Lonchura striata: one gene and its partners. The protein of the gene in region 4 purifies or fractionates together with the protein of the main gene of each other region. This does not show direct contact. Links are inferred from orthologs where the notes say so. Each region holds a gene or a part of one and is shown on either strand. Other genes may lie near its edges. The genes, in order: CRCP, protein UXT, POLR2L and protein POLR1D.

Evidence for each region.
Region 1: the proteins of protein POLR1D (region 4) and CRCP purify together in Homo sapiens (affinity purification with mass spectrometry; 5 studies listed by BioGRID and IntAct, with this or other methods). This does not show direct contact. The link is inferred for Lonchura striata from reciprocal best matches to the Homo sapiens genes POLR1D and CRCP.
Region 2: the proteins of protein POLR1D (region 4) and protein UXT purify together in Homo sapiens (affinity purification with mass spectrometry; 3 studies listed by BioGRID and IntAct, with this or other methods). This does not show direct contact. The link is inferred for Lonchura striata from reciprocal best matches to the Homo sapiens genes POLR1D and UXT.
Region 3: the proteins of protein POLR1D (region 4) and POLR2L purify together in Homo sapiens (affinity purification with mass spectrometry; 4 studies listed by BioGRID and IntAct, with this or other methods). This does not show direct contact. The link is inferred for Lonchura striata from reciprocal best matches to the Homo sapiens genes POLR1D and POLR2L.

Annotation. Positions count from the first base shown.
Region 1 is NC_134622.1:6,502,755-6,509,913, reverse strand, and holds the start of CRCP (DNA-directed RNA polymerase III subunit RPC9), read right to left. Parts: upstream 3,014-7,159; 5' UTR 2,876-3,013; coding exon 2,868-2,875; intron 1-2,867. UniProt on the Homo sapiens protein: DNA-dependent RNA polymerase catalyzes the transcription of DNA into RNA using the four ribonucleoside triphosphates as substrates.
Region 2 is NC_134638.1:954,281-962,046, reverse strand, and holds the start of protein UXT, read right to left. Parts: upstream 3,005-7,766; 5' UTR 2,992-3,004; coding exon 2,918-2,991; intron 1,304-2,917; coding exon 1,222-1,303; intron 479-1,221; coding exon 414-478; intron 1-413. Other genes in the region: uncharacterized protein LOC110481730, read right to left, coding at 5,931-6,003, 6,144-6,952, 7,355-7,438, 7,501-7,638. UniProt on the Homo sapiens protein: Involved in gene transcription regulation. Acts in concert with the corepressor URI1 to regulate androgen receptor AR-mediated transcription. Together with URI1, associates with chromatin to the NKX3-1 promoter region.
Region 3 is NC_134608.1:44,947,136-44,954,710, forward strand, and holds the start of POLR2L (DNA-directed RNA polymerases I, II, and III subunit RPABC5), read right to left. Parts: upstream 3,009-7,575; 5' UTR 2,934-3,008; intron 2,722-2,933; 5' UTR 2,709-2,721; coding exon 2,614-2,708; intron 16-2,613; coding exon 1-15. UniProt on the Homo sapiens protein: DNA-dependent RNA polymerase catalyzes the transcription of DNA into RNA using the four ribonucleoside triphosphates as substrates.
Region 4 is NC_134604.1:69,173,880-69,181,492, reverse strand, and holds the start of protein POLR1D, read left to right. Parts: upstream 1-4,610; 5' UTR 4,611-4,715; coding exon 4,716-4,741; intron 4,742-7,613.

The DNA of each region.
Region 1 (7,159 bases), on a different chromosome or scaffold from region 4:
CGAAATGCCAAAATTATAAATTGATCAGCATTTGCAATAGAAATGAAATTTCCTTCTGTCCTGACTCGCAGCTCCCAATTTTACAGTCAGGAAACAAAGAAATCTGAGTAATGGATTCTAATGTCTATTTTTAAGCAGTCAGCTCAACACTTTGCTTAATTTTTATGTGATTAAGACTTAAGCAGAAAGGTGAAAATTTTCATGGTAACAGCAAAAATATAAACACTTTTTAGAGTCTTTAAAGAGCTCGTATTTGCCCAAATTTTAGCCTAAACCAAAATACTCTTGAGTAGGGCTGAATATATCAAAAAATACCTTGGTAAAGGGCATCACATCTTTACAAAAATCACTGACATCCATATTTTAAGTCTGCTGTTTCACATGTGTTGTATATTTAAACCACACTGTTTTCTGAGAGTTCTTTTCTCTAATAACAGATAATTCTGGTAAGAAATACAGAATAATTCTGGTAAGAAAAATCCACAGTAAGAACTTAGAGAATTGCAAAGCTTCCCTTCCAAATCAGGCAGGAGGCAAAAGAAGATTAATAAAAACTCAGTGGATGTGTAAGAAGCATCACAGATTTTTTTATAAATGGTAAAAGCATTTTTCTTAGTGTACAACAGCCAGAACAGATCATTTCTCTGCCGGCTGCTACTCACATTAAGACTGCACTTCACTGTACTTCAGCAGATGTTTCATATTTTTTATCAAATTTTGATTTTCATGTTCACAGTAGAGAAGATTTCATGATAATAAAGCATCCCTGGACTACAGGGCTGCAGAAGCTCAGTGATTTTGGGAGACACATCCCATTAATGCCCCCACCCATTAGAGAAATTAAAATTAAATGAAAACTAGAAATTTAACCAGCTCCACAGAACTCGTGAGATTTTAAGTGTCAAAACAGGTCAAATCCTATTGCTTTGTACCTGAAACACACAGTAAGAAGGCCTGAAAGAGCCACCAGCCAAAATTCTGACTCTCTTATTGTGCTTGCAGTGGCTGGCACAAACCCCGCAGGTTTTATCCTTCTCCAGCATTTCCAGCTCCTACACAAAGCTCATGGGAATAATGAAAAAATCTCATTTTGCCTCTTGCAGGGCAGAGGGAGGAGACAGGAGGCGAAAAGAGCGAGCCAGGCTGAGCCACACCACCTTTCACCCCAACAGCTTGTCCAGCAGGAGTTTTAATAAAATAAACCCCTCTGACATTGAGCAGAACACCTGAACTTATTGCTGGGAGCTGTACCCTCACATCCCTCACGTGTGAAAAATGCATATTTTATGATTGGCTTTCTGCAAATGAATATTATATGTGTAATGTTAGAAAGTTATGCTGTATTAATTCTCTTAAGTAGTGTGCTAAATGTAGTTTTAGCTTACAACATAATGTTAAAATAGAAACTCTGTGATATAGGATTTGTTACAATCTCAAGCAGGAAGATCAGATAATCAATAAACTCATCACACAGAGATGTCAGCGAAGGGGGCCCATAAAAAGTTACAGCCTCCTTATCAGAAAAGACAAAAATTCTTCCACCTTCTCTCCATCTTTGTGGAACCAACAGGATTAAGGAGAAGAAGTTGACAAAACCAAAAAGTTTTAATTTACGAAGAATTTATGTATCTCATGTATGAGATATATGAATATGCATCAGGCTGTTGCTTTTAAGGTTATTCCTTTCTTCACAAGGGATGCTTTTCATGACTTAGCGTCCAAGAGCATCTGGACGTCTGTAATTCTTTGCTTTTTATTGCCTTGTAATTGTCCTAACTCTAAATTTTATTACTCTAATTATATTACTATTTTTATAACCATTTTATTATTATTAAACTTTCAAAATTTTAAAAACCAAGTGATTGGTGTTTTTCACATCACAGATTCACAGTACCCTCACACCCCTCACGGATTTGAAATGTAAATTTTAAGGAATTTAGAGATTTTAGAGGAGCTAAGATTTTAGTTAGAGATAAGCCTTACTAGAGTTAATTAAATAGATTAGTAGAAGTTAAAGAGTTAGTAGTTAATAATTGATTGCTTGTCAGCACAATGTTTAGTTAGCTGGTTTATAATGAAGAATATAAATTGACAAATAGCTTTTAGGAACATAAGACAATTGCGGCCCACTCTGTTCTGAAACCAATTGAAGACAAGGAATGGGAGTTCCACCAAGAGTTAATTTGTCATATTTGCATTGAAAAGGTAGAAAGGTCAGAACGAGGAAGATGAAGACTTCATTTACTTCCTCGTTTTGGGACCCCTCCCCATGGAAGGGACACCGACCCATTTCAAGGAACAAACCAAGCATGCTGAATGGCTTTTGAAATTATTAGCATAGGAAGTGAGGAATGGGATGTACCAAAATGATTAATATGGATTTGTATTTTGGGTATTCAATACGGATAAAAGGGCGCTGTAATCACTTGGAAGCTGCGGTGTGTATCTGGGAGCAATCCCGCACACAATAAACACACACTGTCTAACTTTAAACTGTTAGAGAGTGTTTGTCCATCACAGCTGGACATCGGTACTAGATCAATATCCAGATTTTTTAATAAATCATACAGATGTGCCCACACACACCCCACTCCCATGGAGATGCAGCCGCACGGAGATTTTTCCCCACACAAACCCCACTGAGGTGCCCCGCAGCCCCGCTGTCCTCCCCTCACACCCTTCCTTACAGCTCCATTTGTCCTCCCCCGTGCCCCCCTCAGGCCGGTCCTTACACCTCCATTTGTCCTCCCCCGTGCCCCCCTCAGGCCGGTCCTTACACCTCCATTTGTCCTCCCCCGTGCCCCCCTCAGGCCGGTCCTTACACCTCCATTTGTCCTCCCCCGTGCCCCCCTCAGGCCGGTCCTTACACCTCCATCTCGTCCTCCCGGCGCGGCCTCCCCGAGGATCCTCCCGCTCCCCCGGGGCAGCCGCAGCCCGGCGGGGCACGGCGGGGGAGCAGCCGGCCGAGGCCCCGTGGAGCTGAAGGAGGATTTGGCGGCCGACACGGAAGCGGAAGGAGAAATAAGGAACTTAAAAGAAATAAATAAATAAAACAAGAAAAACCGGAAAATATCAGCTGCATTGGCCGGGAATCGAACCCGGGCCTCCCGCGTGGCAGGCGAGAATTCTACCACTGAACCACCAATGCCGGCGATGAGAGACGACTTTTTATCACGGCCTTTGTGCATACATCAGTCAGAAAATTGTCATTTGTCTCCGAAATTACTCAAATTGGCAATTAGCCGCTGTTAACTGTGACCAAGGCAAAACAGTAACGCGAAAATATTTTTAATCAAATCTTTAGCCATGTGCTGCAGGGCTGAAGTGTTTTTGCAATACTCCTGTTGTTTTTCGATGCATCCATCCAATTTATCAGCACCGTTCCTTCCCCAGCTGTCACCGTGACTCTTTCCCGTCTAAACCATGTGCTGTTAAATTTTCCAAGAGCTCTTTTCATCCTCAGTAAAACCATCTTCATTTCAATGAGTGCAAACAGCTAAAAATCCTGATGGAAACCGCAAGGAAAATTACCTGGCCAGGGAAATAGAATTCCTTAATTTTGATATTATCTCTCAGGGAAAATTTTATATCCAGATGCAGCACCTCTAACTCCCTAAGGAGTGTCATACAGATGTATTTGCTTGCTTGCAGCTGGGATTTAAGGGACTTTTAGGGATTTAGGGAACTGAATGAGTCAACCTTGTGCCTGCAACCTCTGCCTTGCAATTCCAGCACAAAACCCACCAGCCACTGTTTTCTCCACGACTAAACCAGACAAAATTAAGGCTTTTCCTCTCCTTGGGGTATTGCAAATCCTAAACTAATTCAGAGTAACACGAGCAAACTGTGGTGCTTTAGGAACAGTCTGCAGTGCCAGGACAGCTGGAAAGGAGCAGCTCCCAGTTTTCCAGGAATTTCCATCACCAAATATAAAAGTGCTGGACAAAATTTAAAAGCCAACTGCAAAGGCTTTTCAGCCCTTTTAATTTGAAAACGCCTAAAAAAAAGTTTTGGTGGGCATGTGCGCCCCACCACACACGGATAGAAATTTATTTATATTTCAAAATAACTTATTGTGGAGTCCTGTGGAATAAAAAAAGAGCCAGGAGAGAAGTCTGAGAGCTGCTGTGTGATTCAGAGCACAGGATGTGATGGATGATGCCCTTTTTCATGTCAGGATTAACTGGCCTTGTAAGTTGGCCAAAACTGGCACAGTAAAAATTCTGTGGCTGCTCTGCCATGTCCCAAACCCTCCACGTGCAGCTGCCTGAAAGAAGGGAAAAGATGGCAGGTTTCATGTGAAAATACTGTATTTCCAGACAATCAAATTTCAGGGTTTCATTCCAGAAATCTGTCAATCCTTGTCTGCCTCTCACCACCCTCTGCAGCTAAAGGTTCAGAACCTTCAGCACAATTATCTTAAGTGTCCTTTACATCTCTTTACATCTCTCCCCCAGCAGCAAATTATTGTATTTATTTCCACCTTTTCCTCAAAATTTCACTTTCCTGACATGTTTTTTTCTACATTTGCCTCAAAATTTCACTTTCCTGACATTTTTCCTACCTTTTTGTCAAAATTTCACTTCCCTGACTCATTTTTCCACCTTTTCCTCAAAATTTTGCTTTCCTCACATATTTTTTCCTCCCTTTTCCCAAAATTTCATTTTCCTAACATGTTTTTCCCACCCTTTCCACAAAATTTCCCTTTCCTGACACATTTTTCTGCATTTCCCCAAGAAATTCACTTTCCTGACATGTTTTTTCCTCCCTTTCCCCAAAATTTCACTTTTCTGACATGTTTTTTCCACGCTTTCACCAAAATTTCGCTTTCCTGACACATTTTTTCCACCTTTTCCTCAAAATTTTCCTTTCCTGACATGTTTTTCCACCCTTTTCCTCAAATTTTTGCTTTCCTGACATGTTTTTTCCTCCCTTTCCCCAAAATTTCACTTTCCTGACATGTTTTTCCCATCCATTCCACAAAATTTCACTTTCCTGACACGTTTTTTCCACCTTTTCCTCAAAATTTTGCTTTCCTGACATGTTTTTTCCACCCCTCCCCCAAAATTTTGATTTCCTGACACATTTCTTTCCACCCCTTCCCCAAAATTTCACTTTCCTGACACATTTTTCCAATCAGTGCTGCATTTTACAACCCACCTGGGGATGAGGGAGCACGACACCTCTTCCAACAGCATTTTTTTTTCCCTAATAGAGACTTCCTAAACATTTCCCAGCGGAGACAGGAAGCCTGGCAGGCTGTAAATACAAATATGGCTCAGCTCCATCATGAAAGGGAATATCAAGAGAGAACCAGCGGGGCAGGGGGTGAGGTGAGAAGGTCACTTTGGTTTTAATTGCTGCTCTTTAGGTGTTAGACAGTGATGCTACACCATCCATAGGGAATGCAGACATGGGTTTTTTTCCCAAATGTGCTTAGCATGTCAACATTTTAACATTGTGATTGTTACCAGCAAGGCTTGGGCAGAGAGGGGCCTCAGTATTAACTGTTGAAAGCAGGGGGCCCAGGACTTGCTATTGCCAGCAGATCTGCAGGGTATTTGTGTTCTTTGTCATGAAAGATGTTTACTGCGTTCAGCATTTTGCTCAGCACCCTACGGTTTCTATTTTTTTCTTTTTTTTTCCACCTTTTTTTTTTTTTTCCTTTTTTCATTGAAAAATGAGTTAAAAACAAAGGTAGGGTTTTTTTGAACAAAAATATGTCAGCAGGGCTCCGTGTCAGGTGAGCTGACAGTGCGTTTGCATGGCACGTTCAGCCCATGGAGCTGTTTTCTTTCTCCAAAGCAAAAGACAGCTGAAAAAAATAATGTTTTTAAAAGAAGGTGCACTGTAGCTGTTTCAGCTATCCTTTTCCTTCACAGTCCTGTTGTGAAAAGTGGATTTCCAGAGTCACCAAAGCTCCTTTGGAGCTGCACTCCTTCAGCATTGCACTCTTTCAGCAAAAAAAGTGAAATAGTAGAGAGAGACTGATGGACTATAGAAGTACAAATAAAGTTCAGATATTTGAGAACATCCAAATATATTTAATTAAACTTCTCTGTTCTGCAGAATTGGCAATTTACCCTCCAGTACTTATTTTCACCTTGAAAAGGGTGAAGCTGGGAATATTGAGGTAGGAATGATTTGCCATGCCCTGTGCCAGAAAGGAAAATAAGAGAGAGACTTTTCCTTCAGAACCTCCCCAGTATTAACTGTGGGATGGGGATTTTGAGGTTAATCTTTCTGTTTCAAATAAATCACTGAGAGGCAGTGATGGGAAGTGGAGAGACATCCAAAACAGAGCAAATGGAGAAGACAGTAATGAGAATACAATTCAGTTTGCATTAGAAAGTATATTTTGCATTGCTATTTTACTGTTTTCCCTTCAACAAAGTTCAACTCTCCAACTCTAAGCATCCTTAAGAAATCCTATTTCTTCAATGTTCATTTTTAAGTTGAGGAATTCTGCTTTTATTTTGTTTTAATTCCACACTCATTATGAATATATTAATCTACATCCTACATTGCTTGTTATACAGAAAACATAATTATTGCCTGTTTGATCTAACAATAAAGAGAGAATTCATCATTTCCTAGATACACACTGGGGCAGGAGCTGTGCAGAGCACTCCAAACCAACTAATCCCTGGGAAGTTTGCTAAATCCACAGTGGCATTGCTGACAGATCCCATGTGGATGGAATATCCCCTGTCACATGTAATATCAGACACAGGCTAGCAAAATCTTATTTACACCCACTCACTCTAGTTATAAACCCAGTGCTTAATGTTTTCACAGCATATTGGCGATCTCCTGTCAAAGCCCAGAGTAAGGAAAGGACATTTTGAAAAGGTGGAAAAGACAAGAAAGGTGGTAAAAGCGAGGGATTTCACAAGAGGAAGGAATAGGACTGCAAAAGAATCGAGAACTGTTTCAGTTTCCCAGTGGAAAAAGGAAAAGGGGATAAGTTGTAGAACTGAGAGAACAGTAGAAAACAAACAAGAGGGTCAGTTTAAGTGAGGAAAATACAACAAAAACCGTGGATGAGAAAGCTGGAATATGTTTCCTAAACTCTGTGAGGGGTTTGGACAATGTACATGGAAAAATATTGCACTGCAGGAGCTCACTTGGAGAAAGTAGCAAAATATTCAACTATCTG
Region 2 (7,766 bases), on a different chromosome or scaffold from region 4:
TAGGGAGTCTGAGGAGGTTTTTGGAGCTCTGAAAAGGTTTTTGGGGGGGCTGAGGAGGTTTTTCAGTGTCTGAGGAAGTTTTTGGAGGGTCTGAGAAGGTTTTTGGGGGGGTCTGAGAAGGTTTTTGGGGTTCTGAGGAGGTTTTTCGGGGTCTGAGCAGGTTTTTGGAGGGTCTGAGGAGTTATTTTGGGGTTCTCAGGAGGTTTTTGGGAGTCTGAGGAGACTTTTGGGGTGTCTGAGGAGACTTTTGGGGTGTCTGAGGAAGTTTTTGGGGGGTCTGAGGAGGGTTTTGGGGGGTCTTAGAAGGTTTTTGGGGGTCTGAGGAGGTTTTCGGGGGTTCTGAGGAGGTTTTTGGGGGTCTGAGGAGGTTTTTGAGGGTCTGAGGAGGTTTTCGGGGTGCCAGCCCCACTCACACTTCAGCACTGACGAAGAAATTGCAGCCGAGATCCACCTGGGTGTGCAGGGGGGCGTCGACGTCCTGGGGACCCCAAAACCCCCCGGGACCCCCGGGGTCACACAGAGAGCCCCAAACACACCTGGAGAACCCCAAACACCCCCAGGGACCCCAAATCCCAACCCCCAAACACCACTGGGGACCCCAAATCTACCCAGAGACCCCCAGTCCCTCCCTCACAAGACCCTCAATAACCCCTAAATCCCCCCGATATTCCTCAATTCCCCCACAGGACCCCCAATAACCCCTAAATCCCCCCGATATTCCCCAATTCCCTCACAGGACCCTCAATAACCCCTAAATCCCCCCGATATTCCCCAATTCCCTCACAGGACCCTCAATAACCCCTAAATCCCCCCGATATTCCCCAATTCCCTCACAGGACCCTCAATAACCCCTAAATCCCCCCGATATTCCCCAATTCCCCCACAGGACCCTCAATAACCCCTAAATCCCCCCGATATTCCCCAATTCCCTCACAGGACCCCCAATAACCCCTAAATCCCCCCGATATTCCCCAATTCCCCCACAGTACCCCCCATAACCCCTAAATCCCCCCGATATTCCCCAATTCCCCCACAGTACCCCCCATAACCCCTAAATCCCCCCGATATTCCCCAATTCCCCCCCAATTCCTCCCAAAACTCCCCACGAGGCTCCCAGAAATCCCCCGCACCCTCCCGGAAACACCCCGATACCCCCCTAAAACCCCCTCCAAGCCCCCCAAATTCCCATCCAGGCCCCTCCCCAGGCCACGCCCCCCGCACCTGCAGGCGGGCGAGGGCGGCGCGCAGCTGCAGCACCTGCGCCTGCTGCTCGAAGACGGCGTCGCGCTGCTCCTGCACCCGCCTGCGGGGGGCGCTGCTCAGGGGGCGTGGCCTCGCCCGGGGGGCGTGGCCGCGCCGCGAGGTTAATGGTGGGTGTGGGAGTGGGCGTGGTTTTTGTGAATGGGCGTGGTCATCATGTGGAGGGTGTGGTCGTGAATGGGCGTGACTTCGTGGTGAATGGGTGGAGTTGATGGGGGTGTGGCCAAAAATGGGCGTGGCCTCAAAGTGAAAGGGAAAAATTTATGCAAAGCCGTGGCCATAAAATGGGCGTGGCCTCAAAGCGAAAGGCAAAATTTATGCAAAGCCATGGCCATAAAATGGGCGTGGCCTCAAAGCGAAAGGCAAAATTTATGCAAAGGCGTGGCCATAAAATGGGCGTGGCCTAAAGCTGAATGGAAATTATTTATGCAAGGGCGTGATCGTAAAATGGGCGTGGCATCATTGTGAGTGGGTGGGGCTGATAAAGGTGTAGCCAAAAATGGGCGTGGCCTCAAAGCGAAAGGCAAAATTTATGCCAAGGCGTGGCCATAAAATGGGCGTGGCCTCAAGTTGAATGGAAATTATTCATGCAAGGGTGTGGCCATAAAATGGGCGTGGCATCATTGTGAATGGGTGGTGCTGATGAGGGCGTGGCCATAAAATGGGCGTGGCGTCGTGGTGAATAGAAGGCATTTAGGTAGGGGCGTGGTCACAAAATGGGCGTGGCCTCAAAGCAAAAGGCAAAATTTATGCCAAGGCGTGGTTATGAAATGGGCGTGGCCTAAAGCTGAATGGAAATTATTTATGCAAGGGTGTGGCCATAAAATGGGCGTGGCCTAGAGGTGAATAGGTGGGGTTTATGCGGGGTGTGGATGTGAAATAGGCGTGGCCTCAAAAAAGGCGAGGATTTATGCAAGGGCGTGGCCATAAAATGGGCGTGGCCTCAAGCTGAATGGAAATTATTTATGCAAAGGCGTGGTCATAAAATGGGTGTGGCCTCAAGCTGAATGGAAATTATTTATGCAAGGGCGTGGCCATAAAATGGGCGTGGCCTCAAGCTGAGTGGAAATTGTTTATGCAAGGGCGTGGCCATAAAGTGGGCGTGGCCTCAAGCTGAATTGAAATTATTTATGCAAGGGCGTGGCCATAAAATGGGCGTGGCCTCAAGCTGAATGGAAAATATTTATGCAAGGGCGTGGCCATAAAATGGGCGTGGCCTCAAGCTGAATGGAAATTATTTATAGATGGGCGTGATCATCAAATGGGCGTGGCATCATTGTGAATGGGTGGGGTTGACTTGGGGGCGTGGCTTCAGAATGGGCGTGGCCTCGAGGCGAAACGAAATCCCGCCCTGACCCTTAGATGGGCGTGGCCAGGGCGCGCGTGGGCGTGGCCAGGGCGCGCGTGGGCGTGGCCATGGCGCGCGTGGGCGTGGCCAGGGCGCGCGGGAATTCCGCACTGCGGCGTTAACGGGGAGGGGGCGTGGCCACGGCGCCGACCCCGCGGGGGGCGTGGCCGCGGAATGGGCGTGGCCGCGGCGCGCGGGTTTGATGAATGAGCGGGGCCGGGGCGGGGGGGGCGCGGCCGCAGCCCCGCGGCGATGTCGCGGCGATGTCGCGGCGATGTCGCGGTGATGTCGCGACACGCCGCCTCCCACCTGAGGTCCCGCTGCAGGACGTCGCTGACGAACGCCTCGTAGCGCTGCGCCTTCCCCGCCGCCGCCGCCGCCATGCCGCCTCTGACGGCGGCGCCGGAACTGCGTCAGCGCCGCGCGCCGCCGGGCGCCCCCTGGCGGCCGGGAGGACCCGGGCTCCTCCCCCCCCCCAACCCCGCCCCTATGTCGCGACATGGCCGCCGCGCAATCGGCGGGAGAGCAGCCGGAGCGCCGCGACCTGTGCCCCGAGCCTGCCCCGGGTGTGCCCCATGTGTGCCCAAGTGTCCCCAGGTGTGCCCAAGTGTGCCCGGGTGTGGCCCATGTGTGCCCCAGGTGTGCCCAAGTGTGCCCAGGTGTGCCCAAGTGTGCCCAGGTGTGCCCAAGTGTGCCCAGGTGTGCCCGGGTGTGCCCCAGGTGTGCCCCGAGCCTGCCCCAGGTGTGCCCAGGTGTCCCCAGGTGTGCCCCAGGTGTGGCCCAGGTGTGCCCGTGTGGCCCAGGTGTGCCCCATGTGTGCTCAAGTGTGGCCCAGGTGTGCCCCAGGTGTGCCCAGCTGTCCTCAAGGGCACCCAGGTGAGCCCGGGTACCCCCAGGTGTGTCCAGGTGTGCCCCAGCTGTGCTCAGGTGTCCCGAAGTGTGCCCAGCTGTGTCCTCAGGCACCCACAGCTATGCCCCAGGTGTGCCCCACGTGTGCCCGGGTGTCCCCAGGTGTCCCCAAGTGTCCCCAGGTGTGCCCAGGTGTGCCCCAGGTGTGCCCAGCACTCCCCAGGTGTCCCCGAGTGTCCCCAGATGTGCCCGGGTACCTCCAGGTGCGCCCAGGTGTGCCCTGGCACTCTCCAGGTGTGTCCCAGCTGTGCCCTCAGGCACCCCCAGGTGTGCCCAGGGTCGCCCTCAGGTGTGCCCGGGTGTCCCCAGGTGTGCCCAGGTGTCCCCAGGTGTGCCCAGCACTCCCCGGGTGTCCCTGAGCGTCCCCAGATGTGCCCGGGTATCTCCAGGTGTGCCCAGGTGTGCCCCAGCACTCTCCAGCTGTGCCCTCAGGCACCCCCAGGTGTGCCCAGGGTTGCCCTCAGGTGTGTCTGAGGTATGCCCAGGTGTCCCCAAGTGTTCCCCAGCTGTGCCCCAGGTGTGCCCAGCACTCTCCAGATGTGCCCCAGGTGTGCCCAGCTATGTCTGAGGTGTCCCCAGGTGTGCCCAAGTGTGCCCAGCTGTGCCCCAGTGTGCCCAAGTGTGCCCAGGTGTGCCCAGGTGTGCCCAGCTGTGCCCCAGTGTGCCCAGGTGTGCCCAGGTGTGCCCCAGGTGCCTCCCCCACCCCATCTCCCCAAATTTTGGGGTCCCCCGGTCCCCCCCCACCGGAGCCACCCAGCGCCAGCAGCTCGGGGATTTATTGGCCCCGCCCACGCGGGCGGAAAGGGGCGGGGCTAAGCGGGGCGTGGCCGAGGGGGCGTGGCCAAGCGGGGGGCGGGGCTTACACACTCACGAGCACGCGCGGAGAGACACCCCCCCCTCAATTTGGGGGGGCGGGGGCTGGGGATTGGCAAACACAGAGCGGGGGGGGAGGGGATCCCCGGGGGATTTTGGGGGGTCCTGGGGGGGATTTGAGGGGTCCCGGGGGGGATTTTGGGATCCTGGGTGGATTTGGGGGGGTCCCGGGGGGATTTTGGGGGGTCCTGGGTGGATTTGGGGGGGTCCCCGGGCGGATTTTGGGGATCCTGGGTGGATTTGGGGGGTCCCGGGGGGGATTTTGGTATCCTGGGGGAATTTTGCGGGGTCCCTGGGGGATTTTGGGGGGTCCTGAGGGGATTTGAGGGGTCCCGGGGGGGATTTTGGGGATCCTGGGTGGATTTGGGGGGTCCCCGGGGGGATTTTGGGGATCCTGGGTGGATTTGGGGGGGGTCCCCGGGGGGATTTTGGGGATCCTGGGTGGATTTGGGGGGTCCCGGGGGGATTTTGGGGGGTCCTGGGTGGATTTGGGGGGGGCCCCGGGCGGATTTTGAGATCCTGGGTGGATTTGGGGGGTCCCGGGGGGATTTTGGGGGGTGCTGGGGGGATTTGGGGGGGGTGCTGAAGTCCTGGCACGCCCGGGAGGATTTTGAAGATCCCTGGGGGGATTTTGGGGGATCCTGGGCAGATTCTGAGGGATCCTGGGGGGAATTTGGGGATCCCTGGGGGGATTTTGGGGGGTCCTGAACACCAGGGGGTCCCCCCAGGTATTTTTGGGGTCCCCCGGGTGGGATTTTTGGGTTCCCAAGGTATTTTTGGGGTCCCCCCGGGTATTTCTGCAGTCCCCCCCAGGTATTATTGGGGTCCCCCCGGTATTTTTTGGGTCCCCCCGGTATTTTTGGGCTCCCCCCGGCTATTCCTGGGTTCCCCCCGGTATTTTGGGGTCCCCCCGGTATTTTGGGGTCCCCCCGAATATTTTGGGGTCCCCCGGGTATTTTGGGGTCCCCCCGGTATTTTTGGGGTTCCCCCGGGTATTTTGGGCTCCCCCGGGTATTTCTGGTTCCCCCCGGGTATTTTGGGGTCCCCCCGGTATTTTTGGGGTCCCCCCCGGTATTTTGGGTTACCCCCAGATATTTTTGGGGTCCCCCCGGGTATTTTGGGGTCCCCCCGGTATTTTTGGGTTCCCCCCTGTATTTTTGGGGTCCCCCCCGGTATTTTGGGTTCCCCCCGGGTATTTTGGGGTCCCCCCGGTATTTTTGGGGTCCCCCCCGGTATTTTGGGTTCCCCCCAGGTATTTTTGGGTTCCCCCCGGTATTTTTGGGGTCCCCCGGGGTATTTTGGGGTCCCCCCGGTATTTTTGGGGTCCCCCCGGGTAATTTTGGGGTCCCCCCGGGTATTTTGGGGTCCCCCCGGGTATTTTTGGGGTCCCCCCGGTATTTTTGGGGTTCCCCCGGTATTTTGGGTTAGCCCCGGGTATTGCTGGTTCCCCCCGGGTATCTTTTGGGTTCCCCCCGGTATTTTTGGGGTCCCCCCCGGTATTTTGGGGTCCCCCCGGTATTTTGGGGTCCCGGTGTCGGGGTCACTCGAAGAGGCTGGCGAAGCTCTGCCGCAGCGCCCGCAGGCTCTCGGGGGGGCCCTGCTCGGGGGCGGGGCTGCGGAATTTGGGGGTTCAGGGGGGGAGGGGGCGTGGCCTCGCCCCTCGCCCCTCCCCCCCAGCCCCACCCACTTACCTGGGGGGAGGGGCCCCGCCCGGTTTGGGGGCCAGCGCCGGTTTGGGGGCGAGGGGCGGGGCCTGGGGGCGGGGCTGGCGGGTGGTGGGCGGGGCCTGGGGGCCGGGGGGGCGGGGCGAGGCGGGGGTGGGCGGGGCTTGGGGACCGGGGGGGCGGGGCTGGGGAACAGAGGGGGAGCGCTGGAGGCGGGGCTGGGGCGAGGTGGGCGGGGCTTGGGGGCGTGGCTGAGAGGAGGTGGGCGTGGCTTGAGGGCGGGGCTGCGAAGTGGGCGGGGCTTGTGGGCGGGGCTGAGGTGATGGCGGTCCTTGTGGGCGTGGCTGAGGGGAGGTGGGCGGGGCTTGTGGGCGTGGCTGAGGGGAGGTGGGCGGGGCTTGTGGGCGTGGCTGCGAAGTGGGCGGGGCTTGTGGGCGGGGCTGAGGGGACGCGGCTGGGCCGGGTGGGCGTGGCTGTGCGGTGGGCGGGGCTTGAGGGCGGGGCTGAGACGTGGGCGAGGTCGGTGGGCGGGGCTGCGGGCTGGGTGGGCGGGGCTGAGCTGCCGAGGCAGCCAGGGGTGGGCGTGGCTGAGAGGTGGGCGTGGCTTGTGGGCGTGGCTGCGCAGTGGGCGGTGCTTGTGGGCGTGGCTGCGCGGTGGGCGTGGCTTGTGGGCGTGGCTGCGCGGTGGGCGTGGCTTGTGGGCGTGGCTGCGCGGTGGGCGTGGCTTGCGGGTGTGGCTGTGGCGAGCCGGGCGGGGTTTGTGGGCGGGGCTGAGCCGGGCTGGGCGGGGTTTGTGGGCGGGGCTGGGCGGGGCGGGCCGAAGCTCCTCCCATTTGTGGGCGGGGCTGCCCCTGCGGCTGGGGGCGGGGCTGGGCGGGGCCGGACGGGGGCGGCGCACCTGGAAGGGAGAGAAACACCTGAGGGGGCGGGGCCTGAGGCAGGCACAGCCCCAATTTGGGGCAAAACCCCCCAAATTTGGGGCGGGGCAGCCCTGGAAGGGCATCCCCGGGGAGGGAGGAGCTCCCCAAAATTTGCGCGTCTGGGAGTTTTTAGGAATGATTTTGACTTTTAGGATTTGGGGCAAACCTGAGGAGGATTTTTGGGGAACCCCCGATTTTCCCCCTTTTTAGTGGAAATTGTCACATTTTGAGCAAAAACAAATCCTGAACAATTCCAGGACGCAAATCCCCGAATTCTGGAGGCTCCCCCGGGTTTTTGACAGCTCCGAGGATTTTTTGGGGCGGGGGAGGGGAAGGAGGCCCCGCCCATTTTTTTGGGGTGGGGGGGCGGGGTCACTCACCCTGGGGCTGGGGTCTCTGCTGGGGGGGGGTCCCCGGCCGGGGGGTCCCCGATGTCGCCGACACCTGCAGGAAGGAGGGCGGGGCTCAATTTTGGGGAGGGGTCCGGGGGCGCACCTGGAGGGGGAGGTGGGGGAGGGGCGGGTACCTGTGGGCGTGGCCGGGCGGGGGAGGGGCTGCGGGGGCGGGGCAGCTCCTCCCGCATCCGCTCCAGCACCAGCTCCACGATCTGCGCCTGGTCCTCGGCCGCGCCCGGGCCCAGCAGCGGCAGCCACGAGCCCAGCACCTGCGGGGGGCACGGCCGGGCGGGGCTCAGGTGCGCCACAGGTGCCCCAGGTGTGCCCCAGGTGTGCCCCAGGTGTGCCCCAGGTGCCCAAAGTGTGCCCCAGGTGAGCCCCAGATGTGCTAAGATGT
Region 3 (7,575 bases), on a different chromosome or scaffold from region 4:
GCATCCAGGGCATCTCTATTAACGAACAACAATTAAAAAACATAACAGATGAAGTGAGTCAGAACTACTTGTAAGCGTTTCCTAAGCAACACACTGATTACTTTGAGCTCAGTCATAGAGGAAAATTTGTTTGCAGTTCAAAGACAGACAGAAATTCAGCATGTGCTGTTAATGCCCTTTTCCATTTAAGTGTTGTTGAGTGTGTTTGCCCATTCTCCAGCCGGCCAGAGCACATCATCTGCTGCTGAGAAGGGTCCCCAGCTGCCACTGCTTTCAGAGGGCACTGTTTTAACATGTTTCTGTAAACTGAGGATGATTCTTGTCTATTTCACAAGATAAATTTAAGATCTGAGCCACACTAAAAAGGTGAGATATACAGAAACTAAAATAACTCGGAAGGCAACCTCCCCCATATAGGGATGTTAATTCTGAGGATGGCTACAATCCTTTCCAGCTCCCATGGGAGAAGGCACTCAGTTATACAACCTGCCCCCCACATACATACAAGTAAGTAGGTGCAGACTGGTCAGAAATCAGTGTTTTACTGAATTCCACTGAATTCCTTTGGAGTGACTGCTCCAGATTCTTCTGTTTGGGTAGAGGATGTTGAGTCATCCTAGCCCGAACCAATGTGGGTGTTTTCCATGGCTGTGGCTATCAGACTCTTAAAGGTCACGATACCACCACGATCTTTAGCTGCAACCTATGAACCATAAATCCAGTCTGATACTCCTTCAGAATGTGACATTTGCGAGACATGACTGATCTCAGGTTTATATGATGATACTGATATAATGCAGTGCAATAAAGCGTTTGCTCAAAACAAACTTAATTTCCTGGAACTCATAATTCTCCTGTAGGAATAGGCCAATGGATACTTTTCTAAAATACAAATGACTGAAAGGAAGCCTCTGCCTAAGCTGGACCATGGTAAAGTGTTGTTTGGCTTCAAGCAGTACAGGCTAACTGCAGGAGCCAACTTCCAGCAGCTTCTCTGATGTCACTCAGTCCTTGCAACTGTTGATGGTGCAGCAGGGCTGCTCGCTCTAGGACAGCACCTGCAAAACTTGTTTTAGAGGAGTATAACAACACTGTGGGGCATTTTAAAGAATGTTTATAAATAACATCACATGATGTAACAGTTTTCCAAAACACTTGAGAAGAAAAGCATCTGATGTCTGTTGATAGGTAAATTTTAAAAGCTATCTGGAGAGTTCTGAAGTCTCATATGCAGTTATCAGGGATGCAAAATACTAACATTAATCACAATTTCCAAAGGCATAAGACAACTTTAGTTGCATTTGCCTTTTCTTCCAGCTTCCAAGGACTTGTGGAAAAGAGCACTTTTAAGGGACAAACAGAAAGGCGTGGATGTCTTTTTCAACTACTGATTCTTTAGACAAGTTTTCCCATTTTGTCCATCCATTTCTTAAGCCACCATTACCAGTGATTCCAGTACTGCACTGTAAGATTTTAGTTGTTTGATCTCTGTAAACTCTACTTCTTACAACACCATAATTGCATTAGTTTGAACAAGCATCCCAGAATCAAGCCAGTGACCACAACAATTGCTTTCAAGTGAGCATTTGTCAACGACAACACAGAACTCCTATACAAAAGCAGAGGAATAATAAAGATAGGGAAAATATTAAAATGTAATGCCTAGAATATATGTCAGAAGCTCTATCAAAAAAGCCCTGGTAAACTGTAGTAGGAGTAAAAAAAAAAAACAACCCATGGTATTGTAATGCTTTTAACCCCATATATGAAATAAACTTACCTGTAAAACTGTTAGGATCCCCAACCACTTGAATGCAAACCAAATTATTTGCTTTCTACTTAACATCTACTTTCTACTTCAACATCACGTAAATTTCTCTTTCACTCCTCTGAGCTGCAAACATCCATGGGTATTTTTTTCTGTTTCATACTTGATGAAAATGTAAGTATTTCTCAAGTTTTATTCTCAAAGCTCCTGAGGTAGTGTCAGGATAGTTAAAACTCTCCTTGAACTATTAGCAGAAACTGGCTATGCAAAGGATGCACAGACTTCTTACCACAGAGTTGTTAGGACTATCAGTAGGGTATCTAAAGTGGTTAAATCTTCTTTCTCCAGCAAATCAATACTTAAAAATAAGGTTAGCATCCCTGGATTAAAATGCTTAAAAAAAAAACAAACAACCCCAACAACTAAAACCGCTAAACATTTCTTACACTTCTTTTTCTTCTCTCCCTTTAAGAAACTGATCACGTTGGTGTCAAAATTGGGTATATCAAAGGGGAAGGGAAGAAACAAGGAAATGTGCACAGAGTTACATATTTGGGAACATTTTGGAGACTGAGCAACTTCCACACTGCTGCTCTGAAAGATACAGTGGAGAAATAAGTACTCGGTTGCCTACTGCAATTTCTAACCTTTGGTTATACAACCTCAGAATGTACCTGTAGTTTTTAGCCTCCCTACGTCTCTTTTATGACGCCGCGACCCTGCACTCGTGCCTGTGGCCCTGCCTTGGCAGGGAGGTTGGGGGAGATGATCTGCAGCACGTCTGGGACCTTATGCACCGCGTACCTCACACAGGCCGCGAGTCCAGCAACACAGAGCAAACTCACCCTTCCGTGTACTCCGCCTGCAGGAGGCCAAGGTAGGCTTCCCACTTGTTCCCCACTATCTTGCCGCACGTGAAGCACCGGACCGGGATGATCATTTCTGCGCCGTGGCTGCAACGACACCAACCCCGCCTCAGACCCCGCCGGAGCCCCGGACACCGCGCTCCGCCGCCGCGCTGAGGCTGCGCTGCCCGCGCCGCCACGCACGGCCCGGCGGCGGCTCTGGGCTGCAGGGCCCGGGCCCGGGGGCTCCCTCAGGTGAGCGGCCGATCCCGATCCCGATCCCGATCCCGATCCCGATCCCGGGCCCGCGCGCAGCTCACCCCGCGCGCCTCCTCCGCTGCCGATGGCCGCCGGCCGCCACCACCGCGCCCGGCCGGGGGAAACCGCGCCGCCGCCGGCCGGCCCGACGCGGCGGGCGGGCGGGTTGAGCGGCCCTACTCCCCCCTTGTGCACTTGATGGTAGCGGCCCGCGGTACGGCGTCCCCGGCGGCCCAAGAGAGCGAGCGCGCGCGCGCGCGCGCGCGGGGGGGGGCGGGCTCGCGGCGGCGCCGGGCGCGCGGCGCGGTGAGTGGCAGCCGGGGCGCCCCGAGCGCTGAGCGGCGGCACCGCGACCGCCCCCGCGCCGCCTCCTCCCGCCGCGCCCCGGCGGGCACTTGTTGCATTGCGAGAGGGCTTCGGCAGCGGGCGGACTTCTCATCCCGTCCTGGCTGAGGTACCGCAGCGGGAAGCGCAACTGGTGGCTGCGGCGCGGCAGCCGCCCGCCCGCTCCGGCGGAGGGGTGAAGGGTGAAGGGTGGGCATCCCGGCGGGCAGGGCTGACGGGGAGCCGGGGCGCCCCGCGGCAGCCCCGCCGGCGCGGCGTGTCCTTCGCTCCCCCGGGGCAGGGGAACGGGGGGCGGTGGGACCCGCCGCTGGAGCCGCGTCGCGACCCGGTCAGCGCAGCATCGCGGAGCCGCGTCGCTCGGGGCTGCTTGCCCGCGGCTCGGCGGCTCCCGCGGGCGGGAGGCGGCGGCACAGCCCGCTCCCGGCGCTGCGGGCTGCTCGCGGCTCCGCGCAGCCCGGACAGGCGCTGTCTCCCTGACGGCACTCGCCCCCGAGCCCCGGCCGAGCTGCGGGCGCTGCGCTGGCTGCGGGGTTGCCGAGAGTTTCCAAACTCCGCGGCCAGCCGGGACGCGGCGCCGTCCCGTTATCCCGGGGTGCTGCTCGCCCTGCTGAGAGCCGTGCGCCGCTCGGTTCCCAGCGGTGCGCGCTGCCCCGGTGCCGCCTGCTGCCGCGGCAGTGCCCGCAGCGGGGGCAGCTCTCGGCTCGGGGCACAGGCAGCGGCTGGCCGGGGCAGCGCGGCCGGTCCCGCTGGGCACCCGCGCCGGGCAGCTCTGGCGGCAGAGGATCGTGCATCTCGAAACTGCTTTACTCGCTTTTCATTAATCTAAGCATTGGGGAAGCATTAGGCACGGGCTGTGTGTGCTCAGCGGAGGGAAGCGTGCTGTGATGGGTACAAAGTTTGGGGACGGGCACCGCTGTTCTGGAGGCTCTGGGATGAAGCATTCCTCTGTCAATCCTTATTGCTCTCTCGTTTCAGCGTTAGCGTTATGCTAATTGTCCTTGGGAGAGCAGAAATTCTCCCAAAGTGATGTTATTTTCCAGCTAAAGTATCTGTGAGTTGATACAATGCACAGCGCAGAGCCATTAATGTCAGGCATATAAATAATTGTGTCTTAATGCACAGCTTATGTTAATACGTCTTTCGTGACTATTTTTTGAACGACTGGATTATTGACCCTCTGCACAGAAATGCCAGACCTAACATGAACCGTAAAAGAGCAAATAGTTTTGTTTTAATAAATAAGGACTTGAGGTTGAAAGCATTTTTACAATTCTATTGCTAGTGAAAAGACAGTAATTTTTGCAGTCTCAGGAATAATTATGCGCAGTTGTGAATGGAGCGAATTGACTTGGCATGGAGGGTAGATCAACCTCCTGCGATCTCTAGATTATGATCATTATTGTTATTGTAGGCCAGTGGGAGCAAAACCGTGTCTTTCCTTTTTATCCTTTCATTTCTTTCGGGGGCTGGAGGGGGTGGGGAGTTGAGAATTTGAAGATTGTGCTTTGATGCATTTTCAGTACCAGGGCTCCAAAGTAATTTTCTTACTGAACTGTGTGGTAAAAGGCATTTGTGTTTAGAGATGGAAATTTGCAATTGAGAGTGAGAAAGAGGAGCTGGAGCTCGGCTTCATAGCTGAGCCACATCATTAGATATAGGTTAGCATTTTATAGCTGCCTTGTAGAAATGTGCTCGCTTATTTCTTAAAAACAAAACTGAACTTAAACTTTTGGACCTAGTTCACATATCTCACTTTGCCTAGCGTCTTTTTTTTCAAAGCAAAATGTACTTGGCTTGTTTGCACGCCATTACTTTAACTTTGTCATGTCTTTTCTGGGTAACCTGCTTTGGCTGGGTGAGGGACCTAATGAACTAATAGGCCTTTCATGGCTGTAGCTGCTTTGATCCTAGAAATTGTAAAGATTTTTATGAACTATAACCTGGAGAGAGACTGCTACATACCAAAAACATTCTCTGCTTAACTTCATATATCCTCTGCTTAATCTGACCATTTGCCAAGCTGCAGAAGTCTGTTTAGAAGAGCTGTGGGGGAATGTGCACACATGTGACTGTTTGGGAATTAGTCAGTGTTTTATGGGCTGCTAGCTCACGCTGATTAGGAGGACTGCAGCTTGAGCCATTTGTGGCATTGTCAGCTTTCCACTCTTGTTCAGGTGAGCTGAGTACTGATGGCACTCAGCTGTTAGTGTTTAGTGAAATTTGATCTCTTCAGCCATCCTTTTGAAGAGGGCGGAAAGAATTCAAGAACTGGGTCTCTTTAAGCATCCTTTGAAGAATTGCAAGTATTGAAGTCCCAGCTCTTAGAACGAGAAGTACAACTCTTTCTCACAGTAAGTTCTTACCACATTTCTGGTCTCTTGCCACCTTCAATAAGTAGCAGTCCTCAAACTGCTGATTCTTTGGGCCTTCAGGCAGTCTGCTGGTCAGAAAACCCACTGCAGCCTCATCAGCATTAAGCAGAAGAGACTGCCCTGGAATTAATCGAGTTGAAGAAAGCTTGAGAACTGTGGGCTGCTTTCTTGATGTGCAGCTGGAGCAGCTTGAGCAGCTTCTGTCACGTGGATTTGTTGTGAGGCAGTGTAGATAATGCACCCGCCTTCTTCCTGTGATCTGAACAACTTCTGAAAGCTGACAATGTTCTGACCCACTGTCACTGTTGGGATGAGGCTCCTTCTTGGCAGTTTTTGGTGGATTGAGATCTGTAAAATGCAGCTAGGCATCGCTGCTCCATGGCATTGTTAGTGATGTGCACTTTAAATCCTAGGCTGGTGATTAAGGAGTAGACCCTGCTTCCTGTTCTCCCATCCACGAAATGCGAGGGAAAATATTGCTGCTTGTTTAAAAAACAAACAGAAATGAAGTCAGTTAAGTGACCCGGCGGATTGAACTACTCCTAAAATACTTCTGTAGCTAGAGTGGCCATATGACCTCCTGCAGCTCATGCTGGCAAATTGTGTCTTTTCTGACCTTGTCTCTGTAATTAGGGCTGGAGGAAAGACTTGTGAGATCTCTGCACTTGCACTGGTAGCATGAGAAACTGTTAGCTAAAAGGTATTTTTTACTCTGTTGGCTGCAGAAGGTCCGGTTTAGGTGCGCACCCTCACGGGTCTGGAAAATTTTGACCTTTACTACTTTTCACCTCCTGTTGTTGTTCCTCTTCTTCTGACTTTGCTTATTTTGTGTACATGCAGATAATGACCAGAACTGACGACTTGGGTCTTTTAAGACCTGACTTGCCAATGGTATTCAAGGGTAGTGAATTGTTATTTAAATATAGGACTTTTTATGACAACTTCTCTGTGAAGGATTGTTTTAGTGCTATTGATCATGATGCAGACTTCTATAAAGCTGTGAGTAGCCCTATTGGCCCTGCTTGGAGTTAAAAGCTCTCTTGTCTGTTGCTCCCTGTGGTTATTTAGAGAAAGAATGTTGACAATTTTCTCTTCATTTCCAACTAACACTCATAATCCTGTGCACAATGGCAGAAGTACCATATTCAGTGTTTTACTCCTTGAGGATTCCAACGAGGCCAGAGAGGGAAGAATCCTAAGAGACAGGCTCACATGAATTGTGAAATGAGTGGTTAAATAGGACATTAGTCAGGAGCTGAAATGTGACATGGAAAGTTCAATGTATATAAGTAATTTGCATGGCAGTAGCGAGTCAGACAAGAGGGAAAGATACAAAATCAAATATGCAGGATGAAGCTTGGCTGTTACTTTTTCAGGCACATTTTCCCCTCCAAGTTTGCTAAATCCTGCAGACGTACTCCTGGGCTTTCTTTAGCCCTGGTTAACTACTCAGAAATGTGTAGTTCGTCCTTTTCCACAAAAGGTGAAGGAAAGTGGTTCTCTCTGGAGCTAGCTAGGGTGTCTTTGGAAGTCCTCCTTTCCCCTCTAAAAAATGAAGGCTTAAGGAGCAAAGAGTGGGATGGAATATAGATTTGTTTTCTCCTTGATTATTTTTAAAGTATTTTTTTAGTGAGTGACTTTCTTCCCTTAGCTCCACAGTGCTATTGGGTGTAGTGACGTGATGGTGGGGAGGTGGAGAAGGCCAAGGAAAGGCAGGGATGATGGAAGCAGGAAAGACTTATCTGCTCTGTAGAGCTTTGCATTGTTGGTTGCCCCACACAATGTGTAAGAGCTGCTCAGCCCCTGGATTTAGTGAAACAAATACTGAAGCTGCTAAGCAAGGAGAAATGAGGAGAAATCTCTCTAAGCTGGGGATGTGACTGCAGCTCTGCTGTAATACCACACAAGCCTGATGCTGCTGATTTCATTAAAAGCATCATTCAGGGCCTCAAAGCAGGTTTTAATACTTGCTATATGTTTTTTTAAA
Region 4 (7,613 bases):
TTCTTCTGAAAAATCCTGTATAGTCCATCCAGTGATTGTGTCAAATCTCTCCAATAAATAGAAACCACTTCCTCTTCCAAGTGACAGAAGAGCCAACAAGAAGAGGTGCTATGCTGAACATTGTTGTCACCAACAAAGAGGGTCTGGTACAGAACGTGAAGCTAGTCCATAGCCTTGGCTGCAGTGACCTTGGAATGGTGGAGTTTGAGGACCTTAAGGCAGCAAGCAGGGAGCACAGCAGGCTCTGTACCCCAGGCTTCAGGAGAGCAGACTGGCCTCTCCAGGGATCTGCTTGATTGAGAATCATGGGATAGCGGCCTTGAGGGAAGAGGAGCCCCAGAAAGCTGGTTAATATTCAAAGATCACATCCTCCAAAATGAGGCTTTGAGAAACCTGGTCCAGTGGCGGGTGTTCCTTCCTAGGGGGATTGAAACTAGATGATCTGTAAGGTCCCTCTCTACCCAAACCATTCCGTGATGACTCAATGATTTCTCTCTGTGGAACAAAGGAAAAACAGCCAGGCAAAACAGAACATCTATCACTCCATCCCAAAGTTAACCAACTCTTCCTGGGTAAAATTACCTTCCATATAACATTGATCTGACTCATTTATAATCTAATATTTGATCTGGTTTATTGTGATGACAGTGAGAAAATTCTAGACACTCTTAACAACATGCCACAACTCCAGAGCAATATCAACTTGCTTACTTGAAGCAAAAATGAGACTGCAAATATTGAGCTATATAACCCCAAGTTTCCACATCAAAAATAGTTTCCATTATTTGAATGGAAAAAATGCAAACCAATTTGAAATCTTGTACATTCACAAGTTATCTGACTTTATATCAAACAGCTGCATGCTTTGGGTTTTGTGTCCACCACCTAACACACAGCTCAGCAGGAAAGACTCTGCAAGAGATTCTGCCCCTGTTCCAGCCCGCAAATTATTTGCTGAACTGACATCAGCTGAAATAAGCACCCATGAGAACATAAATGACTGACATCTCTGGTACCACCAAAGTGCTTCAGAAACAAAAGACATGCCTGTAGTACTGCAGAGCACATTGCAAGAATGAAGCCAGGTCAGGTACAGCACCGAGACCCCCTGTAACACAACACTGGGGCTGGGGACATCTCCACATGTGTCATCAAGGTGCAGCCCAGCCCCATCAGCCACCTACACTATCTCATACAGAATACAGAGTAGTCAGTATGAAAACACATGACAGGTTCAGCCCATGAATTTAGCAAACATAAATCCCGAAAACACTTACATGCAGGCTTATCATTAAGCCTCATTGCAAAAGAACTATCTGGATGTTTAAAATCAAGCATATGCAAGCATAAATATCTACAGAATTTGAACAAAAAGAACACAAAAAGTACACTCCATAATATTATTAATTTTTACTGCTCCATAGATACCTTAACCTATCAATTATATAACTTAATACTAATATTTTAAAGCATTTTCATCTTCAAAAGGCACTAGAATTTCTAAAGGACAAACTCCACTGACCTAATAAAGCAATTAAACAGCATGCAAGTCAATGGCGTCACATTAAAAATGCTTCTGCAAACCAAATCAACAAAGAATTTCCAAATACCAGAGAAGCCACTGCCATATCAAATAGACAACCAGCTTCCTCTGGTGCCTTTTACACCAGGGAGCATTTTAACACGAAATAAATGTTGTTTTCTCATTAGTTACAGCCGTTCGTGTCTAGTAGCTCTTTAAACAAACAACATTTTGCTGATGCAAGGCAATAATTTGTATTTATTTAACATCTAGTACACATTTCACTTTGATATTGCTGGTATAACTTCTTCCCAGTTGCTTTCAAATATATTAACTTTTTTTTAGAAGTACAGAAAAATGAGATTAAATAAGAGGGGGGTATTTTGGCATATTTTCAGACATAGTTTTAACTGGTAGCTAACAAACTTCTGCTGTTTTTTCGTAATATAAATATATTACTAAAATATATATCCATAAATATATACCAAGATTGAGACCGCTCAGTATGGGTAAAGGCTTACAAAAAAAGAAACTTTCACTGAGGTGATTAGTGCTTCCATGGTAGCACATAATAAACAAATGCCAAATGTTGCAATGCCAAAGCCACCATTTTTGGCAGGACAGGTTTTAGTAAGCTTATTTTTTAACCCATCTCAGGAGAACAGTATTTTTCCACCCAATCACCTGCTTACATTCCTCTTGCAAAGTTTTGTCCCTAAACTGCCACATTTTTTATTGTTTTGGTAACAGAAAATTCAGGTGCAGTCTTAGGAAAAGGTACTACCTTTGCAAATCTCAGACCTGAGTCCAAGGCCCTGGGCTCCCTCATCCTGAAGTCACCAAGCAATGTAAAGGGTAAGTATAGTTAGAAATTCAGAACTGAAAACTCATGGCAAAATTATGAGTTTTAAGATCCATACATTTTCAAATTGCAACAGAACAAGCACTTTAAAACATAATATTATGACCTTTTTTATTTAAAAAAATCTACTTGGGCACAGTAGTGTTATTTGCAGCCTGATGACTCTGGAGTTAATAATTTTATATTGTACTGTGTTCAGGAGAGAGGATTCCTTAGATATCTGATAATTAGAAAAAAAGAATAATTATAAAGGACTCCTATTTAGTCTTACAGTTCTAGCAAGTACACTGATATAACTTGCTTCCATTTTAAGGAAATTTGTTTTAATAAAGACAGGGCAGCATATGGTACTAACATGTTTATTTTCCAAGTGGAAGGGACACTAACCAAAACCATCTGATGTTTCTTCATCTGATGTTTCTTCCTAAGCCTCCTTGAGCTGGATTGCAGCTTAGAATAAAGCATTACAAAGCCAGAAGAAGTGGGTAGAGGAATAAAAAAATGAGTAATTCAAAGTCTTTATCTAATGAGAGCACAGTTCAGACCAGTTCTTATTTTGAATATAAGTTTAAAAGTACTTATGATTGGAAATTTATTTCCAGAGACTATCAAATGTAGTCCAAAGCTAATCTGTCACAGACATTTTTTACTCTGCACACAGACAAAAACCAAACCCCTAAATCATGTAATTAAAAGAGGAATTAAAGGAAGCTCAGAAGTACTTAATAGATTTCTAGAGAAGCAAACAATCAGTACTGTGCATTATGAACACAGTAAGAAAAGTCACCAGGGACTACCAGATTCACCCCCACCAGAGCTCCAGGAACGGTTTTCTCAGTTAGTTGACCAAGTACTATGATTCCATCAAGAGCAATGGTAATTTTAAAGTACGCCTTGTTAAAAGTATAAAAGACGAAAACTTTTCTAACCACATTTTCAGTGCTAAGAGCTAACAAATGAGGGGACAAACCAGGGAGTGCGGGTCAGAGCTCCGAGGGCTAGCGTGAACGTTTGGAAACAGCTGCCAACCACACGGACTCAGCGGCATTTCGCAGGCAGCCCCGAGTTCCTCTGGCGCAGCTGTAAAACACACAACCTGAAACCCGCTCCTGCAGCAGGGGTTCGCTCGCAGCTGTTCTCTGCCTCCCCCGCACGCAGAAATCTGACTCCTCTCCAAGAAAGAGCTTCTTTAATGAAGCCACACGAGAGCAGCATAGGTGTATCGGGGGACCCAGAACCAGGCGCTTTCCAAGTGGGTCTCCAGCACCCGAGCTCACAGCTCAGCCTCGCAGAGACGCGCTGCAGGGGCCGCCGGGCTCAGCCCCGCCGCCGAGCCGGGGGCTCCAGGGCGGGGACGCTGCTCCGAGGATCCCACCTCAGCCTCAGCCACCTCAGCACGGCGGCTCCGGAGCTCTGCCCACTCCCGTACTTGTTGCCTGCGCAGAGCTCAGCCCGGCGCCGCCGCCCCCGCGGAGACCCCCGGTGCCGCTCGGCTGAAGGAGGCTGAGCGGGGCTGAGCGCCCGGCACCGCGCGGGGCAGGGGAGTTACTCACCGCGCCGGCTCCGCGCAGCGCTCTCCTCCTCAGCCGCGCCGGCTGCGCCCGCCCCGCCTTAGGGGAAGCAAACTCCGGGCAGCAGCACTTGGAGAACGTGTCTCGTCGGGCCGGGCCGGGCCGGTGCTCCCGCCTCCGCCCCCCGCCGCGGGCAGCGGCGCGGCCCAAGTGACAGCGGCGCTCCGCCACTCCGGCGGCGGCCCCGGGCGCGGGGCCGGCCGAACCGCAGCCTATGGCAGCGGGGCCGGGGCGGGACGCGCTGGAGCCCGGGGCCGGGGTGTCCCCGCCGCTCGCCTGATCGGCTGTGCGGAGCCCGGAGCGGTGGGGAGCGCGGGCGGGGCCGGCGCGGAGGAGGGGCCGGGTGGGGCGCTGCCCGCCCGGGGCTGCCCGCGGACCTGTCCCCGCCTGCCCGAGCCCTGCGGCCGCGCCCAAGGAGCAAACCCAGGGCGTCTCCGAGACTGAGAGCCCCAGCGGCGCTCCCACCCTCCCACACTCAGTCACCGCCCCGCGCCTGCTTCCCCCGCCCTGCCGGCGGGGCACGGGGGTCCTGCCCGCCAGGGAGCCCACCGCCCCGCTCTCCTTTTGGCGGGGGGCGCGACCACCGGTGCCGCAGGTGCCCGGCGGGGTGTGGCGGGGCCCGGCTCGCCCCGCCCCGGCTCCTCCCGCCGGGGTCCTCGCCGGCCCCTACGCCCGCCCCGCTGCCACGCCCCCCGGCCGACCGCGGGTGATGGCGCCGGCCTGCCCCTGAGGAGCCGCAGCGGGGAGCGGTGGGGCAGCCATGGAGGAGGACCCGGAGCTGGAGAGGTAGGGGGGAGCGACAGCGCGGGGAGCGGTCTCGAGAGCGAGCGGCCTCCACGCGGCTGCTGCGCCGCTCCGGGCCCGGCAGCGCCTCCCGCGCCGCGGGGCCCGGGCAGCGCGGGGCTGCGGCCGGCCGGCTCCCCCGGCCCGAGCGCTCCGCAGAACCGGCCCCGAGCTCCGCCGGGCTCTGCCCGCTGCCCGCAGACAGCCCCTCCTGTGGGCGTGCGGCCAGGGCGCGCCCCGAGGGCAGCGCGGCCTGGGGCTGCCTCTGCCGTGTCTTCCGCACAGAGCTTTGGGTGCGTGCTGATGTCGCTTAGAAACAGGATTGGAAGGTCTTGGATGGTTCACCCCTCATTAGCTACAATTTGATGAGTTGTGGACTTGGCAAAATAAATTTTAAAAATCCCAAAACACCTTGTGTTGTTAGAGATTTCAATTTTCAGTTGTGCCCTTTGACTAGTTGTTAGAATTGTCGTGTTCTTGTATGAGAAAAATACAAAATGGTTGGTAGTTATTTTGTCAAAAACTAAAACTGTTTTCTATTTGGCATTTCGTTGGAACCAGTGGATTTGTCTTGCTGCACGTTTTGAGTTGCAGTGCTCTCAAGCAAACACTGAGGAATAAAACATTGATTTCCATATTAGGATACTCAAAGTAGGCCTCTCTTGCTTTTGTTTTAGGAATAGACTTTTGGTGTTTATATCACAAATGTTTTGCAAAACAGTGCTATTTGTTTGATGGGAATTTGTTTTTGCAAGCTTATTTCTGGGTTGTTCATTTTCCTTACGGCTGTTTAAAACAACTGTTACAGTGAAGTGATGACCAGAAGCTTTCTGAACTGTTCTCATGGTTCTCTCCTTTAACTTTTAAGAAACCGTATCTGGGAATGCTTACCGAAAATAACTTTTTTCTATTTGTATCTGGCAGGTATTTGAAATGTGCCAAAAGCAATAGTACTGAGACAGTGGAAGGGCTAGAGCGCTTAATGCTTTCTAAGAGGCTTTTAATTCTTGCTGAGCTGTTTCTGTTCTCAGATCATTAGTTTAATAATTAAAGCTTCTTTTGGTGTATGCATGAATGTTATTTTTACTAGTGCCATTCTAAACTTAAACCTTTTTCATTCATGGCAAGTTGAAACCATGCCACTGTTCTTCCATGCTGTCTTCTGGTTGCTGCTGCCGTGCTGGGGGCCTGGGGTTCTCTGGGCAGTTCAGGGCATAGCTGACCTCACCAGCTGTAGCCAGCTGCTCCACAGCCACCTCCTGACTGATGCTCTTCTTCCCAGAAACTACATTTGAAGTTTTACCTTCCTCAAAGGCTCACTCCAAGTTAGGATTTGCTATTCCTGTTCTGTGGCAGTGTGGTAAATAATGAGGATGAAGCTCAGTGTCACTTGTCGAAGTGGCACGGTAGGGTTTAGCTGTTTGGTGTCACCAATCTGTGTCACTGTGCACCTCAGAGGGTGTTTAGTCGGCCCCAAACACATTATAACTACAGTGTAGTGCACTTGACAATTGGCTCTTCCTGTCCTCGATCCACCTATCATCAGTTACTTTTTCATACCTTAAGTTTTCATGACAGCTTACTTTGATAGTAGCACCCTGAACTGAATTCAGTTTGTGCTGTGTGCATTTAGAGGGTGTACTTTGGCACTCTAAATAGTGCTTCACTGTACAGTCTTCAGTACAGAGCCCTTCCAGTCTAACAGAGATCTTTCTTTATCCTTTGTGTTACAGATGTTATGTCTTAGATTCATACTCAATAACATACTGATCATATCATCCTGTGAATAGTGTAGTAATGGCAGTTTAGGCTTATAATTTTTAAGGGTTTTGTATTATGGGTTTAACATACAAATAATAGTGTTTCTGTTCTGTAGCCATAGTATTAATTCCTTTAGTGCATTTTTAGTGTTCAAAAATGGGTTTATGTGGAATATTTTGAGAAGTCTGTCTCTGAATCCAGGCTTGTCTTGCAATGCAGACTTAAATAAAAATTCAAGGTTTTTGTACATGTGCTTTTTATTTAATTAACCATGAGGGAGAAAGAAGCGTAATATTTTTGTGCATGCTTTTTCAGGTCAGAAATTAATTTTGTGTCCCAGTATTCCAAAAAGTGATCTGTTAAGTCAATCGCCCTATATTTTTGTTACTAAGAAGTCTTTTCTTCTAGCTTCTTTTATTTTTATCCTTACTGCCACATTTCCCAATATTATTTTTCAGTTTTACTGTTTCTGACTCTCACTTGATCTTGCTTTTGATGTTTTCCTCACTTTAATATGAAGTGAGGTTTTCCTCGAAGCTGAGTACTTATAAGTTCCTGTGTGACTGTTGCATACAGAATGCAACAGTCTGTGGGTTTTAAAACTCTAAAAGCTATAAATACCACAGATGTGTAAAACAGTAATATTTGCTACATTCTACTGAACTACATCCTCTACTCCATCTCACCCAGTAACCTCTGATGGAAGAAGTATGAACTAAGATTTTCCCCTGTGAACTTGCTGGTACATCAGTGAAGACCCTGAGCCTTAAGGTTCCATGTGATTCTTAAGAAAATTCTAAATTATGTTAGCATATGATTAATGGTATTTGAAGTTATGATGTAAGAAGGAGGTGGAAAAAGGGAATCAGCTAGTAGGAGCTGTTCACTTTCTTTCCTCTGCAAGCACCTGAAACTGCTTTTCCTAGTTTATTTCAACTAAATATACACTGAGATATTATGTAGGTCACCATTTTCATTCCTGCATAAAAAATGAAATCTTTCTTCCCCCTCTACTTCCTAAAGTATTGCCATTGTGGTTCTGTATGTTTGAAGCACAGAAGATGCGTTGTTTCTCTTCAAATACAGAGGAAGTGGCTTTGTTATACTGTGTGTC